Coturnix japonica: one gene and its partner. The protein of the gene in region 2 purifies or fractionates together with the protein of the main gene of each other region. This does not show direct contact. Links are inferred from orthologs where the notes say so. Each region holds a gene or a part of one and is shown on either strand. Other genes may lie near its edges.

Region 1 (5,000 bases), on a different chromosome or scaffold from region 2:
GTGGACTAAAAATTCCTCTGAAGGCTTATATTTATAAAAGAAAACTGGATTGATTCCAGATCTGACCCACCTTGCTGAAAAGGAAATATTGACTTTAATGTAATCTCTTTACATGTTCAGGCATTTTACACCCTCTTCTCAAATAGAATGGAAAAGACTAACAGTACTCTCCTTGACATTATTTGAAAGGATCAATGAACAGACTGAAGTTAGAAAATGAAAGTCAGTATCTTTTATGTCAATCCCTGCCAATTTTTAACCTCCGCTTTAATGATTAGCAGTATTTACTTATAACCAAGACCTAAATGAGCCATAAAAGCACAGCTCTTCTAAAGCTAGATTTCAGTCAGCAACTTGCGTCAACTTCCCCGTTTCTGGCACTTCTATCACACGTACAAGTGGAAATGACAAATTTTAAGTGAATGCAATTCCTCCAACATCAGCAGGTGGAACTGGAAAGCCAAGTTGTCCTTAGGTTTCTGTTCTACCCGTTTTGAATGCCTGAGGAGGGACTATGCAATTTCAGCAGTGGAGGGGGAGTTATTAGGATCTACTAGGGATATACTTCAATAATGTAAGCTTGAATGGACAGCAGACAATGCTGTTGTGATGCCTCATCCCTTCTTTATCATAGTACTCAAGCCTGAAAGGGACATCCACAGAGAAGACAAGAACATGAACTCTCAAAGGAAAAAAACCACCAAAAATCATGTTTGCAGAAGCAACCAAATTATGAATGGAATATTTCTCATGCCTGTTTGTTTTTAAGTTTACTATACCAGTAGCACAACGTAAAACCAGCAAGAGGACTCTCCAACTCAAAATTATTGTCTAACTGTCCTTCTGTTTAGGGAGCACAACTGACTCATAAAAGAGTGAGCTTACATTTTGCTGCATTGATCCTTCCATGCCTGATAATGGCATATATAGTACCTGAAGGCAGGAGATGGATGCTGGCCTTCAGGGTCCCAGCAACTTTAAAAATACACCACCTCTCTTTGAAATGCTGGTTTGTGCTGAAGTTGTTGTTGCGTTGGTTCCTCCCACCCTGAATTTTTCATCATCAATGTAAAATTTGTTTCACTTGTATTCTGCAATGAGAAAGCATGTTAAAGACCCTGATTTCTAAAAATTAGGAGGTGGATTATGAATCACATTAAGAAACACCTCAATTTCCAAATCTTTCACTGCAAGCGTTTAACAGCACTACAAGCTGTTGCAGCTTTATTTTGCACGTTGCTGCCCAAAAACTCTTTGCACAGTTGGATCATAACTACAGTTTTAATGACACAAGTAGGAGTGTGAATTTAAGCATAAACAGCTATGGAGAAGAAAGTAAACTTCAGTTGAGATACACAATGATGCAGCACTGGCATACACAGAACATGGCTCAAATGACAAGAAATGTGAAAATCTGAGATGAATGCCTCTGAAATTACACGGAGAAAATGTTCCTGTGAATAGACACAGATAAAAGCTGGGAAGAGAGGCAGAGCAATGGGAAGGCCCTGCTCCTTTGCCACTTTTCAGCTGTATGACTTCACAGCCTGACTTGATGACTTACATAAAACAGAACTCCACTGAGACTGAGCTATAGCACCAGAACAGAGTAATGGTGATGAATACATCCCGTTTTCTGTTAGAAAAGGAAGAGAGGATTAAACCACATCCTCAAATGAGCGTGGGACTAGACAGGCTGCTTGTGGAAGAGGGAACATTGCACGGTCATGCATCTTTGCTGACATATCAGATGATGCATTTGGCAGGTGTAAGAGCATCGTGAGAGCTCGGAGAAGACTCATGAGTGGGAATGCCAGTAATCGCGTAGAAAGACAATAATGGCTGGGTTGAAATAGCATTAATTACAGAGATAACAAACGGACTGTCAAACTCAAGGGAAGCAAAAAAGCCTCAAGCAAGACTGATGCCAATTTTGACCACACTGAAACTGAATAAAAAAGTTATGCTTGAAAATACTTGATTCCATTCATAACATTTATGTTTTCTACCTCTCTCAGATAACCTTCCCTTCCTTTATACCTTACCCTCCCCTTTATAGCTGAAAATTCATTCCTACAAACACAAGAAGTTTGCCATCGTGGAACCACTAATAAAATAACTGTGTGATTTCCCAAGAATAGCATACAAGACTGAATTCACACAGCATTGGTACAGCATTTGGAAAAGATCTTTAAAACTAAATGGTAGGCAGACATAAGGTGTTCTTCACAATGAGCAGTTATAAAGTAGAGCCTGTAAAACTCTGTAACAGCGTGTTTTCAGTAATATTTTCAGAATCGTTTTCCTATTGATTAAAGGTAAAATATATGAAAGACAAATCTGACAGACTAAGTGCAAATAAAATTTAAGTTCTAAAAGCCCTTAATCTACCCAATTTCCAATTTACTTAAAAAATGAGAGTTAATTTTTGAAGCGCAACATAGCATCCTTAGGCAAGTAAATACATAACGACAAAACTCCAAGACACTGTTTCTTAAAACCAAGTAGGAGCTAAAAGTAAAGTTGGTACTAAATAATACTTCACAAGGAAGCTAAGAATATTTCAGAATATTACTTGAAAAGAGACTGCTCAGGGTTGCACAGGTCACAGAATCACAGAACCTATTGCAGTCGGGGTTGCCCACCACTAAATCAGGTGTACCTGGTTAGGGCCAAATTCATTGCCAAATTCCCACATAAAGCAGAGGCCAGATTCTAGGAAACACTCATCCTAAAACCTGCTGACAAGCTTATCTCAAATGACTTGAAGTACCAATCTGGACGATGCAATTCCAGGATAACATTAAGTACATACAGACTATGTCAAATTCATAGCATAGGAATGACTGGAATTCCTTGCTGTCATTCTGAGAGAACTTCTGGTTTAATGTAATTTACACTCCGTAACCTATAATGAAGGCACATTCTTGTTGGTCCCACCAATATAGACAACATTAACGATATCACAGGTACCGATAATTGGTAAAAACAGCCTTGGTTATTGCAACCTCTAAAAAGCAGTGAATCAGAAAAAGAAATGCCAGTCACGTGCCCCCTCCCCGTAAGGAGCAGATCCATCCACTTACACAGTGCCGAGTGCCAAATTCATCATGCAGGGCAGCAGTGTCTGATTCTTGTCATTTTCCTCTTTCTCCTCTTCCTCACTTGCATGGCCTATAATCACTTCCCTGAATGTGAAGAGCTGCTGTCTATGCAGTTTCTTTTTAAAGAGCTGAACGTGCAGGGTTTTTTTATTTATTATTACACTGAAATTGAACTTTGAGCTAGTAAAACCAATATTATCACAATGCTGTCGTCCTAAAACCAGAGCTGCTGTTTTCACAGGAAGACACTTCAAATCACTTCACAGAACGTGGGGCTGTTGAGCACTGAGGCATGTGCAGTGCAAAAGAGCCAGATAGTGCCAACAGAGAAGCAGCGGAGGGCTGCTCTTTCAGAGGGTATTGCTGAGAGTTTTCAGTCTAATCCAAAACTTAATGCAGAGAAAACTGATTTTTGCAGGAGCGAGCAGGGTGTATAGAAAGCAGTGCGTCTCTTTCTTTCGAAACACCGTTTGAGTCACACTGCATAACAGCACGGAACAGCATGCATCTCACAAGTCAATGGACTCCTGAGGCAAAACAGAATCATTCCTTATGCTAACATAATATCCTCAACAGAGATGTTCCCTAGACAGGTAAACGTTCACAACAGACCGCTGCTATTTAGTGCTACAAATCACACAGATATATTTAAGAAGAACTGCTGATAGGAGCTCAGATGTAAAGCTGAAGCTCTGCCACCTCAACTCACTGGCACTCCTCAGCACAGGCCTCCAAACTGACTGACCAGAGACTGCAGTCATATGGCACTTCACATTGCCTGCCTGGGGAGGCAGAGGACACAGAATACTTCTGTGTTCTGTCCCTGAGGTACTGATGTGTTCTAAAACAGCTCTCCTTCAACATTACACAGGAAGAGATGGTTTGAGAAGGGTTTCCTATTTGGTGCCTACACAGTGACACACTGCCACGGTGCTGCTGAAGCTAACATCCGAATAAACATAGCTTCTCCTCTGTGGACTTTGTTTGCTTTAGCCTGACATTGTTTTCAGGGCATTTAAAGCTTAGTAATAATATTTATGCGGTCCTGAAATTCTCTTCTGTTTTCGGAAGAAAGAGGGTTGTTAATATAAGTTCAGAAAGGAAACAAAAAATGTTTTCATTCTGTTTCACCGTGTCATGTCCTTGAAGAAGCAAAACCAGATACCAGCAACCTCCCACAAAAAAAAAAAAAAAAAAAAAGGAAAAGAAAAAGCTGAGCGCTAGAGCTGTTTTAGAGAACTTATTTCAACACAAGTTTCATGCCTTTAAAAAGGGCTTGAAAGGGTATCACTTAGAGATATCCAGAGCAAGACCATTCTGCTAAAATACTTTAAGCTAAAATGTAATCCAAATTAGTCTTAGCTACTGCAAAGCATCCAGAGACTGAAAGGCAGGAATGATTACTGACGTGCTTAAGAACCAGGAGGATGATACGTAAATGATAGAATTTTCTTCACTGTGCATAGGCTCAGAACTTCTTTGGCAAAAACCAGCTTTCCATCTGATAAATTCCTAAGCCCACAAAAAAATGTTCAACAGGGAACAGCAAGTCCTGTTCAGACAATGGGATGTGACTTGCTTCCCCCCACCCCCCATTGTGCTGATGGTTGGTAAAATTCCAAGAGAATGTGGAAGAAAGATTACTTGGTTTCCATTCCCCTAAGGCAATAATCTCCCATGGTCACTGAAGAGCCTGAAGAAGGGCTGGTTTTCACCATGCACTGAAAATGATGATAAAACAAGTTTACAGAGGAACACAGAACTTACACTTTGTCAGGCTCCTATTCAGGAGTTTAAATAATGTTTCCAGGCTTACACAGGCCAGGATTTGCCTGGACTCAGATGCTTAGTAGCCCTTTCAAATCAATGGAAATGCAAATATGCAAAGAGTGAGGC
Region 2 (4,377 bases):
GTTGCATGCATCTGTCTGCAATAGCAATCACATTTCCTTTTTTCTAAATATAAGGCTAAAATTATACTGAGTGTATTAATCAGCAGGTTGAAGACTGCATTAATGCACACTCAAAAAGTAGAGCTAGAAATTACCAACGCAAGTCATTAACTCTCTGGATTGGCTTCTATTAGAAGTAAAATAATTTAAATTCAATGCCAAAATATTTGTGAGCTGAAAGGTTAGTAAACTGACTTTACTTGCATAAAGAAATCGTGTTCATCCACTGTGTGAACACAGACATTAGAAAAACTGGTGCATATAACAGCAGGACATGCAAATATGGACTTTCCATGGAAGAAAAAAATCAACCATGCCTTTTTAACTAAGAGAAAACCTGCTGTCTTACTTTTGACAACCAGGTTGTGCTTTGGGCACGTTCTGTTGCACTCAAAGTAAAAATATTTACATCATTTAATACCGGAAAACAAAAAAGGCCCTGTATGTTTGAAAACCCTTCATTTTTTCAGTGGTACATAAGCAAATCTATTCAGTTTATTCTGCTATTTTGTTGTTAAATCATCCCTTGTTTTAATCATTTTTTTCTTCCCTCTCCTTCCAGTTAAAACAAAAGCTGCTAAATAGAAGTGGGAATGAAGGGCAGAGAACAGAGAACTGTGTACGTCATCACCGTCTGCTTTATCTATACTTTAGAGAGTAATAAAATCCGTACTTGCTATTTAAATATCCATTAAAGAAGGTACATACGTTAAGAGATGTAGTATTCATCTAATTTAAACACTTTGAGCTGCCAAATTATAAGTTCCTGGAGTGTTATTTAGTAACTTCCCCAAAGACACACACGGGGAAAACAATTACAACTATAAAAACGTAGCAAAAGATGCTTCTTCCAACCTCAGCTGTAGCACCAACATAACATGTTTTAAATCATTTACAGAAAATCAGTAGCGGACGAAAAATTTTTCGAGCAATAGCCCAAGAACTTCAAAAGCAGCAGCACGCTCAGCACTGCCACCAGCCCGTAAGTGTCTGTTCTTCTCATGTAGATAAACACATACATAAACTTTTGTACATTTTATACGTATATATACATACGGCCAGATAGGTAGATTGATAAATGGGGAGGGAAGAAGTTTGCTGGAACAGTAAAGGGGTGGAATTTACCTCAAAAAGGAAGTTCTGCATTTTAAAAAAGCCAAAAATATCTGCAGCAGCAAATAAACACTTGTACATTTTTCCATAGGATCATTTGGAGGATGACACAATTTATCAGAACAGATGAGGATGTGCTGCATCTCCAATTTGTTCAATATGTTTGATGCAACCAAAGGAGCTGATGAAGAATTTAAGCTTTTTCACAGACTTATTTTCCTTTAAAAACGAAGAAGAAAACTGAACAGGGCAGTTCTTCAGGAGTGTTTTCTGAACAGATCATCAAAACCAGCGTTACGTCTGTTACACATCACTGCCAGTGCCACAAGAACAGTGGGAGAAGACTTCATCTTTTAGAAGAGAACTGCTAATGCTTCACTAAAACTTCCCCTTTCAATTTATGTGTAATTTTATGTATTTTAACATGAATTTCAATGCATTTCTTTTATGTGAACTGTGCATTTTTGTGAGATGTACGTTAATCAACTGCAACAAAATAAACTCATTACGCAGTGACATTCAGTTTTCAGTCATATTAGTGTGATAGTTATAGTGGATACACAGATGAAAAATTACCACGTTAGACTAGTCACACAAGGGCAAGTTTTTTTATGATACCGAATGATTCATACAGCTTACTCAATAAATTCATATATAAGCAGGAAGTGCATTACTTGTTCTACATGTTGAAAACAAAACTTCTGTGAAAAGCTTAATTTATGATTAAGCAACTTTGGACTCTAGGTGTCACTGTAATTCCAGAAACAGAAACGTTACCTCCCACTCCACCTCGCTTTGTTCTCTGAACAAGCTTCACACTGACACTTCCTGCAACTGCTGTCAAACAAGTGCAGTAATCCAGATGTTTCATATCTCCTACTCTGAAACCTGATCTTTACCTGACTCACCCCTGCTCCATTTGTTCCCCACTTTAGAAATCTCCCCAAGCAAGTTCAATCTTTTAAATTAGCTGATACAAGGAGCAATCTAAGCTCCATACAATTTTTCTTCTTATCATGAAGCCTGTGTGCATGTGTGACATTTAAGGCTTCATCTTGTAGAACAACTGAATGAAAACAGTGAAATTTAAAATCTTTCATATGTGATGAACACAGAATGGCACTTCACTGTTTCTTTAGACTATAGCTGAATAAATCGTAAGTAGGAAAGCTTTAGTGGAATGCCAATAACTTGTGCATTTAGTAACTTGCATTGTCCAGAAAAGTTTATATAGGCCCATATTCACAACAATGGTAAACAGACATTTACACATTTACTTATGTGTTTTGAAGTTTCAGTAGATATTTATCACTTCTGGCTGTTCCAGTTGGTAAAGGCACACTAAAGTTAATCCGTCACATGTTGCAGGACAGACAGCCACAAAACATCATCACTGCACTGGCTGAGACTTATGACTAATCAACTACACGTTGCCAGAATAAACCAAAGTTTGACTTCGGTTTACTGGCTGTCTTAGCTGTTCTTACTTGTTCAAAGTTGAAATCCATTCTAAGATCAGCAACCAGAGAACAGGTTTCTACTTCTTCAGGGTTTCCAAATTTAACATCCTGTTCTATTCCCAGTTTGCTGCAGGCAATTAATGATGGATTATAAACTGACTTGAAGTATTTTTTTCTTCCTTAATTCACCAGCCTTCTGGTGAGTGAGGAAGTTACATGTGGTCTAGCATCGTTACCCAACATGTAGAAGAGTAGGTCCTAGGCACAGTAGTGATTGCAAAACACAATGACATTTTGAAGGCACACAAATAACACAAACATACAAATCACTCCTCAGTTTCTGCTTCTAACGTACTCATGGATGTCTAGTGAGACAATGCTGTTATTTGGAATATAAAATAATTTTAAATTGTTCAGGAATATGATTTAGCAGAGGGTTGTTAGGGTAGTATGGTTAGGTTGTGGTTGGACTCGATGATCTTTAAGGTCTTTCCCAACCTGAGCAATTCTATGATTCTATGATTCTAAACAGAAGAAGTGAAACAGTCCTACACTGTAGGAACATAGCTGCAACCAAACATACTTGAAAATACCATACAGATGCATAAGTGAAACTCATTTAAGACACACTATAGTTTAGAACTACATGCTCAAATACTATGCTTCAAGCATCTCTTCAAATTATGTTCTTTTTAGACTTTTTTTTTTCCTTTGCCTGTCTCAATCCCCCTCCTTCCCCAGTGTATAATGGCATATAGAAAAACAGTTTTCCCATGTTGCTCCACACGGCTCAAATGTGGCAACCTGCAGAACAGGATATGTGACTTCAATATCTGAGCTTTTTGTTGGTGCCAACAATGTATGCTGGGGAATTAAGAACACGGCTCTTACCTCATGTGTCCTATTTACCTATCATTTCATACTTCTCAACAAGCACACTACAAATTAGTTATAACTAAGTCAAATAAGAACATGTCAATTATTTTAAAAACATTTAATTCAGAATAGGGCCACATACAAAAGTTTTTAGTTGCCTAAATAGCTACTGATCCATGTACTTACCATTTTCCACGTACGGGTGAAATGGCAGAACTAATGCTAGAATGACTCTGCCTCTAGTTGGCTCCAGTACACTTCTAATATCTTTTAATACAGTCAGTGGCTGATCACAACGATCCAGCAAATTCAAACAGCTGATAACATCATACTGAAATCCTGTGTTCTGCCATTCATTTATACCAAGCACCCTACGGAGAGAGAAAAAGAGCCAAGTTCAGAGGGAATCACTGAGGATAAAAATTCCCAATTGATGTGCTGATAGCACAGAAAGATCAGCCAACCAGGCAGTGAGGAAAGGCAGACGCTGTCCTTCTAGTCCTATGGAAAACTACTCAACAATAGGCATGGCTATACATTCAGCCACACCTTCATACTGCCATATAAACACCAGGGTATTATTAAAGTCTGATGTCCTAAATTAAAACTGAACATACTTCTCAAAAGTAACAACAAAGCTGAAATGTGATTAATAGTTTGCAGCATTTAAACCACCCTGACTTACCAGTGTGCAAACCCAGTTGCTATTAATTTTCCTCTTATGGACAGGGAAGAAGAAATCAACAGTTCCTTCATTCTTTGTGTTGAAGTCTAGGGATACAGTACCCCAGACACTAAGCAATATTCAACAAGATCTGCTGCCTACAAGAACTTCCAGCTGTTGTGATTAGAGCACAACAAAGTTCTGAAAGTGATTAAGTTTTTGTTC

The links. The genes of interacting proteins can lie anywhere in the genome.
Region 1: the proteins of METTL9 (region 2) and SLC39A10 purify together in Homo sapiens (co-immunoprecipitation; 3 studies listed by BioGRID and IntAct, with this or other methods). This does not show direct contact. The link is inferred for Coturnix japonica from reciprocal best matches to the Homo sapiens genes METTL9 and SLC39A10.

What each region holds. Positions count from the first base shown.
Region 1 is NC_029522.1:490,735-495,734, forward strand, and holds the start of SLC39A10 (zinc transporter ZIP10), read right to left. Parts: upstream 3,183-5,000; 5' UTR 3,087-3,182; intron 1-3,086. UniProt on the Homo sapiens protein: Zinc-influx transporter. When associated with SLC39A6, the heterodimer formed by SLC39A10 and SLC39A6 mediates cellular zinc uptake to trigger cells to undergo epithelial-to-mesenchymal transition (EMT).
Region 2 is NC_029529.1:8,386,933-8,391,309, reverse strand, and holds part of METTL9 (methyltransferase-like protein 9), read right to left. Parts: intron 3,860-4,377; coding exon 3,675-3,859; intron 1,671-3,674; exon of another isoform or gene 1,283-1,670; coding exon of another isoform or gene 1,244-1,282; intron 1,022-1,243; coding exon of another isoform or gene 938-1,021; intron 659-937; coding exon of another isoform or gene 602-658; intron 1-601. Other genes in the region: IGSF6 (immunoglobulin superfamily member 6), read left to right, coding at 602-658, 938-1,021, 1,244-1,282. UniProt on the Homo sapiens protein: Protein-histidine N-methyltransferase that specifically catalyzes 1-methylhistidine (pros-methylhistidine) methylation of target proteins.